2 linked regions of the Arabidopsis thaliana genome follow. The protein of the gene in region 1 interacts with the protein of each later gene in a biochemical or structural test. Each region holds a gene or a part of one and is shown on either strand. Other genes may lie near its edges.

Region 1 (6,483 bases):
ATGCGCTACTGAAAATGTCGTTATGACATGATAATTATAAATTCTGTGCAAAGTTGATTATTACTTACTAGCATAAAGGCTTAAAACCAAAATTGACTCTTGAATTTATTTCATTACACCGGATGCAAAAGATAAAAGTTAGCGGGTCCATACGTTCTTACACATGTATCATTTATAATTAATAATCTAATAATCGAAAATCCATTTTAGTAGAAAACAAAACAAAACAGAAAATCGAAAATTCAAACAAGTGACAAAAATAATATTACGACCCGTCCCTTTGTTTGGTTGCCCCGTTCGTGTATTTGCTTGGCCGTTGGTGTTCCCATGCGCCACTTAGCCTCCAAAGTCTTCTCTCTAAACTCCTTTTTTATACCATAATCTCTGTTTAGTTTATACTTAATTGCGCTTTATCTTCTTAATCGTCATGTAATCCATAAAAATCTTCGAGATATTTACTTTCTCGACTTAATTAATTAATACAATTTCTCTATATTAAACTAGTCAACAATATGCTCAATATCATATCATACATATATGTTTTAGCCCACAGGATTCTCACTCTCCATTTTCTTATTATTACACTGACGTCTAATTTGACGTTGATTTTAAGAAATTGAAGTCAATATAGACAAAATCTATCTGTGAATATGCTGATTAATACCCTTTTATGTAATATGTATGTACACGTGATGTACTTTTAATCTTGAGTCATACATCTATGATATTTTGCATTCATTAACATACAATTTCCCAAAACTATGAGCAAGTTTACGTGTTACTTTTGTCTTTAATCATCATTCAATATTATCGAAAAGTTCGTTGCCATATCATATATTTGTGGAATAAAACTAGGTAATATTGTTCTTGTTTTACATTAACTAATGCATTTTTTTTTGGGGGGCACACATTAACTTATGCATATTCCAAATAAATAAACTATTTTGTCGCCGTGACACATTGATAAAAAAAACATTCTAGTGCTTCGATTGAAAATTCAAGTTTCTCCAAAATTTACTCTCCGCTGCATCCGCACTTTACAATTGTAAAAGAGAATACCCAGTATTTTGCATAGACAAATCTATTTTTTTTTTTTTTGATGGGTATTTTTTATATCTATGTCGTAAGTACGTTACGTTAGCTAGCTAGAACATTCCCTAGCAAGAACTAGTAGTGAGTGAGGAAGAGAAAAAAGAACTCAGCATTGCTTATACAAGAGTCCATGTTTGTGGATCCAAGGGAAGGTTTATCTCAGCTTTTTTTCCTCAAGAGAAAGGTGTATCTTGCCCGTGGTTACTCGATTGTTGTTCGTATTCAATTTATTAAATTTTATAGCTTCAAGGGAAGGCATGTGTTTCTTCTTTTTTAAGTGCAATATTTTTGTTTATTACATAAAGTACTTCCTGGAAGTTTCGTATAGACTCCAATAGGGTTTCTCTGACTTTTCCAATTTCAGTGTCGGAGTACATTAACTCTAAAGAAATAAACATGCATGAACATGCTTTTTCATATTCTACATATATTTTGCAGTCTATAATTGGTTTTTCCACTGTGGTTTACGCTAAAATAAATAATATGTTCTTGTTAAATGGCCACAAACAATTCCGACACCATAAATGTGAAACTTTTAACAAAACTATATTATCAATAACTAGCTAAATTATGATCAAGACCAGTAAACATTTCAACACTTAACGTAAAGAAATGAATTGGCTATTGACGATATAATTTTTTTCCATAGAAAACTATGCATATGTTTGTCACAATTTTTTTCTTTCTTTGTATTAAAGTTAAGTGTTGAGTGAGAGAGGTATCATAATCATAGTACCCTCCCACGATATTGCCCACGGATCGAATCCTTAGACCCGCATTTTATTTTTAACTTCATATCGCATTAGTATTTAAAAGCAAATATATATATCCTATGAAATAAAAATCTCCCGCCTTAAAGGCCAAACCTTAGGATCTAGGTAGGTGGGTCCCTCTACTCAGCGACCACACAAACTCACATTTGTCAATTTCTCCTCTCTCTTAATTTATTAATTATTTTATTTACTCATCTCTGTAACGCCCCCTATAAATACAACCTCTCATTTACTCATTCAGAAACCAAAAAATTTCACAAACCAAACCAAAACCAAAAAAATAGCTTATCTCTCTCTTATCACCGGTTCAATCACTAAACCATGGCGACCTCCGTCGATAACCGCCATTATCCCACCATGAACGGCGTCGCTCACGCCTTCAAACCTCCTCTCGTTCCTTCTCCTCGCTCATTCGACCGCCACCGTCACCAAAACCAAACTCTCGACGTCATCCTCACCGAAACTAAAATCGTCAAAGAAACCGAAGTCATCACCACCGTCGTAGACAGTTACGACGACTCCTCAAGCGACGACGAAGACGAGAGCCATAACCGTAACGTCCCTTACTACAAAGAGCTGGTTAAAAAATCAAACAGCGATTTAGAACCGTCGATTTTAGATCCGAGAGATGAATCAACGGCTGATAGTTGGATTCAACGTAACTCATCCATGCTCCGTCTCACCGGAAAACATCCATTCAACGCCGAAGCACCTCTTCCTCGTCTTATGCACCATGGATTCATCACTCCAGTTCCACTCCATTACGTCCGCAACCACGGTGCAGTTCCCAAAGCGAATTGGTCAGACTGGTCAATCGAAATTACCGGACTCGTTAAACGTCCGGCTAAATTCACCATGGAAGAGCTAATCTCCGAGTTCCCCAGCCGCGAATTCCCGGTGACACTCGTCTGCGCCGGTAATCGCCGCAAGGAACAGAACATGGTGAAACAAACGATCGGATTCAATTGGGGATCCGCCGGAGTATCTACTTCTCTATGGAAAGGTATTCCGTTAAGCGAAATCCTCCGTCGATGCGGGATCTATAGCCGGAGAGGAGGCGCGTTAAACGTTTGCTTCGAAGGAGCGGAGGATCTTCCCGGCGGCGGCGGATCTAAATACGGAACAAGTATTAAGAAGGAGATGGCGATGGATCCGGCTAGAGATATTATCTTAGCTTATATGCAAAACGGCGAGCTTTTAACGCCGGATCATGGGTTTCCGGTTCGGGTCATTGTACCGGGTTTCATCGGTGGTCGGATGGTTAAATGGTTAAAGAGAATCATCGTCACGCCTCAAGAATCTGACAGTTACTATCACTATAAAGACAATCGAGTCCTTCCTTCTCTCGTTGATGCTGAGCTGGCAAATTCCGAAGGTAAACTATTAACTTACCCTTGTCTTCTTTTACATTTTAGTTACCGATGCTAATATTATTTACTTGTTTTTGTTACAGCTTGGTGGTATAAGCCTGAATACATAATCAACGAGCTTAATATAAACTCGGTGATTACAACACCTGGTCACGCAGAGATTTTACCGATTAATGCATTCACTACTCAGAAGCCGTACACATTAAAAGGCTACGCTTATTCTGGTAATTTATTTTAACTTTGCTTTAGTTAAAAGTTAAAAGGATTCTTTACTATGTAATTAAAATCCTGATCGGTGTATTGATGAAATAAACAGGAGGAGGTAAGAAGGTAACGAGGGTTGAGGTGACTCTAGACGGAGGAGACACGTGGAGTGTTTGTGAGCTTGACCACCAGGAGAAACCGAACAAGTACGGTAAATTCTGGTGCTGGTGTTTCTGGTCACTTGACGTTGAGGTTCTTGATCTGCTCAGTGCTAAAGACGTCGCGGTTCGAGCCTGGGACGAGTCTTTCAATACTCAGCCTGATAAACTCATCTGGAACCTCATGGTAATAATCCTCTCTCTTGATATTTTTAAATTATAGAATTAATTAGTTTACTTTATTCTTTACTATATGATTTAAATAGTTTAATCTTGTTTTTGAGTAAACTATTCGATTTTGATATTTGTATTCGTCCTACAAAGTTGGAACTACTGATGATATTTTCTTTTGAACGTGATACCTACCAATACTAATCTTACGGAATCTTTTAATAGAGCACTAATCAACATGGAACTAAAGACCAATTCTTTAAGTGTCTCTGTTGTACAGTTCATTTTAGTAGTGCGTTTAAGTATTATAATCTCCCTTCATGCGGGGCAATTATGTAGATTAAAATCGAAATTATATAAAATTTACATAAGTCTAAGTCTAGGGTCTCCAGCTAATTGTTATTTTTTTAACGATGTTGACTAAAGCAATAACGACGTTGACTTGTGTTAAACAGGGGATGATGAACAATTGCTGGTTCAGGATTAGGACCAACGTGTGCAAGCCTCATAGAGGAGAGATAGGGATAGTTTTCGAACACCCGACCAGACCCGGAAACCAGTCGGGTGGGTGGATGGCAAAGGAGCGTCAGCTTGAGATTTCCTCAGAATCCAACAATACCTTGAAGAAATCTGTCTCATCTCCTTTCATGAACACTGCCTCGAAGATGTATTCAATCTCTGAAGTTAGAAAACACAACACTGCTGACTCTGCATGGATCATCGTCCACGGTCACATCTATGACTGTACACGTTTCTTGAAAGATCATCCAGGAGGCACAGATTCTATCCTGATAAACGCAGGTACAGATTGCACCGAAGAGTTTGAAGCCATTCACTCTGACAAAGCCAAGAAGCTTTTGGAAGATTACCGTATCGGTGAACTCATCACCACTGGCTACGACTCTTCCCCTAACGTCTCAGTTCATGGTGCCTCAAACTTTGGTCCTTTGTTAGCTCCAATCAAAGAGCTAACTCCTCAAAAGAACATTGCTTTGGTCAACCCACGTGAGAAAATCCCGGTTAGGCTCATTGAGAAGACTTCGATCTCGCACGACGTTCGTAAGTTCCGATTCGCATTACCATCAGAAGATCAACAGCTTGGTTTACCCGTGGGGAAGCACGTTTTCGTTTGCGCCAACATAAACGACAAACTCTGTCTCAGAGCTTATACTCCCACCAGCGCCATCGACGCGGTTGGTCATATCGACCTCGTCGTCAAAGTTTACTTCAAAGACGTTCATCCAAGGTTTCCCAATGGTGGACTCATGTCTCAACACTTAGACTCGTTACCAATCGGGTCAATGATAGATATCAAAGGTCCACTAGGGCACATCGAGTACAAAGGCAAAGGCAACTTCCTGGTCAGCGGCAAACCTAAGTTTGCCAAGAAACTAGCAATGCTCGCCGGAGGAACAGGCATCACTCCTATCTACCAGATCATTCAATCTATATTGAGTGATCCAGAGGACGAAACCGAGATGTATGTGGTTTACGCAAACAGAACCGAGGATGACATTCTTGTGAGGGAAGAGCTAGAAGGATGGGCTAGTAAGCATAAGGAGAGGCTAAAGATTTGGTACGTCGTTGAAATCGCAAAGGAAGGTTGGAGTTACAGTACCGGGTTTATAACTGAAGCTGTGCTTAGGGAACATATCCCTGAAGGTTTGGAAGGCGAATCGCTAGCACTCGCATGCGGACCACCGCCTATGATTCAGTTTGCGTTGCAGCCAAATCTAGAGAAGATGGGTTACAACGTGAAGGAGGATCTCTTAATCTTCTAGATTTGCTCAAGTTCTGTGCTATTGGAAATTCGAAAGTTGATAACAAGTATCGCTTATGTGTGTATATACATGGTTATTTGGGCACTTTTGTTATAGTTGTTGTTTATCAGAGCTCCAAATTGTATATTGTATAAAATTGTGTTTAATTATGATCTATGTTGTTGATGATGATGATGATAAATGATGAACTTATTGTAACTCAAACTTCTTGTGTCTTGATATTATCGTTTTTTTTTTGTTATTGCATGTCAGGACTCATGTCACAACATCTTCTATTTGAGTTATTATGCTTCCATAATGTGTCGTGTCATCTATTACTGGTCGTCTAATAAGTTAGTTATAGTTCACATCAAGTGTTATTCATTTAATCACGCCTGGTAAACGTTTTGTCGTATAAGACTAATAGTTTTAAGTTAGTTACCACTTGTGGTCGTGTTGCTTTCAATCGTCAGTGACAACAAAAAAAGACAAACATGCATGAAAATAAACGTTTAATGCAAAGATACGCATATCATTATGTCAAAGGGAGACGAATGATGCTACAGTATGCGTTCGATACAAAAAATGGAAAAAGATCTAAAATGGATTTTCGTTTCGGCCCCACAAGATTCGTGGTTCATACGCATTTTACAAGTAATAATATTATGGAGAATGGTGATATGTAAAAAACATTGGATCTTTTTTTTTGTCACACAAGACTTTCATAGTGAGTAACGAAAGTTAAAAATGAAGGTATCCATGATTCCATATTTAATTATTAATTATAAAGAGAATTCAAGATCCACAGTGAATAAATAATAAGAACGGATTCGGTGATATTGCAACTATATAATGAAATTGAATACTCTGATTCATCGCTTTGTATCAAGATCGAATCTCTAAAAACATATACTCTATAATAAATATCTGCAGTCGAATTGTGATATATTGTAAG
Region 2 (4,571 bases), 220 kb from region 1:
CTTCTGAAATAATAGGATAAAACTGGATTATTGTCTAATGTCAACGAACGAAGATAACACTGAGGAAAAGTGTCTTCGTCAAATCGTTAACGGTTCATCTATCGAAATTCGACCTTATTTAATCGCATTACTCCAAATAGTAAAGATTGGTAAAAAAAATTTATCAACTTAAGGACTAAACGAAACTAAGTACAGAAAACATTTTAGTAGTAACAAAGTTCATGGTTTTATTCTTTAGAGGGATTTGATTGGCTTCCATAAGAGAATGAACTAATGATTGTTTCGTTGGAAGAAGTTTAAAGTAACTTGATCGTTGGTATTTGAGAAGTATTTTATGTATAATCCTAAAGACTTCAACAAAAATAAATAAAATATTATCCTAAAGTTAATTGTCAGAAACTTATAATAAAATTGTAAGATCTTTTGTTGTCGACAGTCGACGACAAATAAGATAATGCGTTTGTTGTTATTATCATAACTTATACCGTAAGTTATCAATATGAATCATATGATTTACAAGATAGACTCATCATAGTCATAGATCACATCGAGACGGAAGTTTTTTTAAGTTAAGAATGAAAAAGAAGGGAAGATAATTAAAATTATTGGCAGGGGAGCCTCGGAGATATCCCACATATGCTCAATTGTTGGGCTTCCAAACCTCTTATTTTATGTTGACTTGAGCATGCACCAACATGCATTAATATAAGTGTCATCGTATAAGTTATTAATGTCACGTCTCATCCGTCAAAAACACACAATTGTCAATCGTCCATATCTCTGCTAGGTATGATCAAACCCGACCACTCGTAAATCCATGTTATGAACTCAGATAATGTTATCTCTGTTAATATTTCTTGAATGTCCCAAAATTTAAGGGGGATGGCAATTAGGGAATGAACACTTCGATATGGTTCAAACCTTACGTTTCGCATCGATTCATGCTCTCGTCCCTATCTCCCCCACACCCAACACGTCGGAGCAAATCATCTGGTGTATTAACACTTTCATGAAGATTGGTCTCTATACAAGTAGAGAATCGTATATAAATAGTCATAGAGATAAGAAAGCTAATTAGATAAGGATCATCATTATCTAAATGACTAATTATAATTAGGAGTTATCTCAATACTTATCAAAAACTTTTGATCTACTTGCGTACGCTATATAGCTAGATTAACCACAAATCTTTTTCGAACATATCCGAATTTTCGCCTTTTTTATATGACGGTTTTTTCTAACGTATGATCTTTAGATATATCATGACTATACGTTCAATGAATACATGTTATTGTATAGTTAATATTTATGCTAGAAAAGTATAGAGTAATCTTATTATTTCATTGAATGTAAAACATAATCATCAAGAAAACTAATGCAAATAAAACAAATTAACAAAAAGGAGTAAGATAGGAAAAAACATAATCATGGATTAGGATAACTGGATAAGCATTGGATTAAGCAAAACGGAAAAAGGAAAAACAAATATTGTAGTATTTTAATAAATTACTTCAGTACAAATACAACCACATAATTAAGAACATAATGATTTTAAAAAGCTCGTAAGAATCGCCTACGTACTTAGTTGAATGTTTGAAGATTTGAAGAATAGACAACCTCCGAAGTATTTAAATTTTGAAAGAAGAAAAAAAAAACCGTTTGAGCAATCACAAAAATGTGAAAGCTGAGTTGGAGAAGAAAGGGTCCATTGGATCCCCTGACATGCTCACAACACACATGTGTCCCTCTGAGCTGTCTCCATTTTTGTTAACCCAACTTGCTTCCATTATTGTATCAATCTCACAACTCCAATTTCTTTTCACAATTAGTAAATAACTATATTAACAAATCTACAAAAAACTAGCCCCTATTTTAACCACTAGACCCAAAATTTTATAATTCCTTAAGGTGCCTATACTAATAGTAGCAAAATCACATTACCAATTATTTTGTTAATTGACCAAATTTTATCCAATAATCACATTACCAATTTTTCTAAAAGTGTATTTATGTTGTTCTTAATTTGAGGTGAAAAAAAATCCCCCTTTAAAAAGCAGGACCGGCCACAAATCCAACGGCCCAGATTAGATCTTGGTTCCAAATTTCACTCTTTTCCTCTAAAACGCATTTATCACTTTCCCTCATTAAACACAAAAACTCATTCATCGTCCTCTCTCGCTTGACCTACAACACCCGATTCTCTAATCGAAACCGTTTCTCTCTTTTTGATCAGATCTCAGATCTTTCCCTCTTTGATTCTTCTTCCTTAGATCGATTCTCTCTAGAAACAACAATGGCGTCTGGGCGTGAAGAGTTCGTATACATGGCTAAGCTCGCGGAGCAAGCGGAGAGGTACGAAGAGATGGTAGAGTTTATGGAGAAAGTCTCCGCCGCCGTTGATGGCGATGAACTCACCGTAGAAGAGCGAAATCTTCTCTCCGTCGCTTATAAGAATGTGATTGGTGCTCGCCGTGCCTCGTGGCGTATCATTTCATCGATCGAGCAGAAGGAAGAGAGCCGTGGTAACGATGACCACGTCACGGCGATCCGTGAATATAGGTCTAAGATCGAGACGGAACTCTCCGGAATCTGCGACGGAATCCTTAAGTTGCTTGACTCTAGACTCATCCCTGCCGCTGCTTCTGGTGATTCCAAGGTCTTTTACCTTAAGATGAAGGGAGATTATCACAGGTACTTGGCTGAGTTTAAGACTGGTCAAGAGAGGAAAGACGCCGCCGAACATACACTCGCCGCTTACAAATCTGCTCAGGTTTGATTCCGAATCTCAGATCTAGTTTATTTGAGTCTAGTGTGTGATCCGTGGATGGTGGTTTGTTAGATTTCCAGTATAATGAGACTTAAATTAGGGATTTGTGTATTCTCGAATAAGATCTTGAGATTGTCTAGGTTTTGAGCTTATAGTCTCTATGTGTAATTATCTGTGCAGGATATTGCTAATGCAGAGCTTGCTCCAACACACCCAATTCGTCTTGGTCTTGCATTGAACTTCTCTGTGTTCTATTACGAGATCCTCAATTCTCCTGATCGTGCCTGTAACCTCGCCAAACAGGTATTTCAATCTACTCATCTTTCAATTATGATAATGTGATTGGACTTGGTTTAACACTTGACCTCATTGGACATAAATTTGACTGGTTTTGTTGTTGTTATGTATCGTCAAGGCCTTTGATGAGGCGATTGCAGAGTTGGACACTCTTGGTGAAGAGTCATACAAAGACAGTACCTTGATCATGCAGCTTCTTCGTGACAATCTCACTCTCTGGACATCTGATATGCAGGTTTGTTCATATAATCCCCGCACCTTTGTTCTTTCTTTGTTTCTGTTATGGATGATTCGCATTCCATTGACTAAATTCTGTAACGGTGGGGATTATATTAGGATGATGCTGCGGATGAGATCAAGGAAGCAGCAGCGCCAAAACCGACCGAGGAACAGCAGTGATCTTTTGAGTGAAACTGCTAGTTTTCTTCTAGGGTTTGGAATTTCTTCTCTTTCTCGTCCATATGTTTTTCTTAATCCATCTAAGAGGTCGCTCTTGCCATTTCGCTCATCTTCAAAAGCTTATTCATTCATCATATTTGTGGCAAGTCTGAACCATCAATCATCTTTTTATCTCTTTTTAATTTATTTTCTCTTTTCTTATTTCTTTGTTGTTATCGATTTCAATGTCTGTGTAATCGAAACTTGCTTTCTTTTCTCATCAATTTGAAGATCATAAAGTCTCTTGTCTCTTATCTTGTTGCGTAGATTGATTGTTTATCAATTTTTAATTTTAAAAGCGGACTAGTTTATTGGACTGCGTAAAGCCAATTACTTTACCTGGTCTGAAATCAATCATCAATTTGATTATATAAAAATAAAAATACATTTCAAAAGAACTATTTAAGCAATAGACACTCGTTAGTCATTTGACACTTTACAGGTTTAAATTAATGATCTCGTCAGAGTTTGAAGTTTCAACTTAAAATGAAAGCATCAGAGCATAAAATTCAACCAAAGGAACAGTGAAGTGTTTGGTATAGCTAATCAACCAATCAAAAATTTAATACCCCATCGAATAGACGATGAAGAAAAAACTCTTGTATGCAATCTGATTTACAAAGAGATGAAATCATAATGGCAAACTTATAAAAATTGAATAGAGTTGCAAAAGTGTATTCCTTTCTTTTTCCTAGTCTTCTTTGTTTCTAACATGAACAAACCATGAAAACAAAAGAAAGTAAAAAAAAAAACGGATTTAAGTAATCTTTGAGTTAATTAACAAAAAAAAAAACAAATGATCCCACCACTCTCCACTAATGATGTACAAAAAGAACAAAGGGAATTTTGTCGCGACGGTCAAAACGACGACGTTTTCTCACTTTGACCGACAAGGGTTTCCGATTTTCTGATCAATGACCTTTGTATTTAGGGCTAGGAAGCGGCACCGTCGTCGGAGATACAGGGAACCCTAATTGACCTGACGATGGCGATAAAAGTATGCTCGGTGAGAGTAATCCGTACGGAGATTTAGGCGAACTTGAACATCCAAACAGTGGAGGCGCCGGAA

The links.
Region 2: the proteins of NIA1 (region 1) and GRF2 form a complex in vitro, tested with the Arabidopsis thaliana proteins (one study listed by BioGRID).

Annotation. Positions count from the first base shown.
Region 1 is NC_003070.9:29,235,071-29,241,553, reverse strand, and holds NIA1 (nitrate reductase 1), read left to right. Parts: upstream 1-2,069; 5' UTR 2,070-2,186; coding exon 2,187-3,240; intron 3,241-3,318; coding exon 3,319-3,459; intron 3,460-3,551; coding exon 3,552-3,784; intron 3,785-4,223; coding exon 4,224-5,549; 3' UTR 5,550-5,833; downstream 5,834-6,483. UniProt on the Arabidopsis thaliana protein: Nitrate reductase is a key enzyme involved in the first step of nitrate assimilation in plants, fungi and bacteria.
Region 2 is NC_003070.9:29,459,590-29,464,160, forward strand, and holds GRF2 (general regulatory factor 2), read left to right. Parts: upstream 1-1,801; 5' UTR 1,802-2,293; coding exon 2,294-2,770; intron 2,771-2,947; coding exon 2,948-3,070; intron 3,071-3,182; coding exon 3,183-3,299; intron 3,300-3,400; coding exon 3,401-3,463; 3' UTR 3,464-3,800; downstream 3,801-4,571. Other genes in the region: AT1G78310 (VQ motif-containing protein), read right to left, coding at 4,414-4,571. UniProt on the Arabidopsis thaliana protein: Is associated with a DNA binding complex that binds to the G box, a well-characterized cis-acting DNA regulatory element found in plant genes.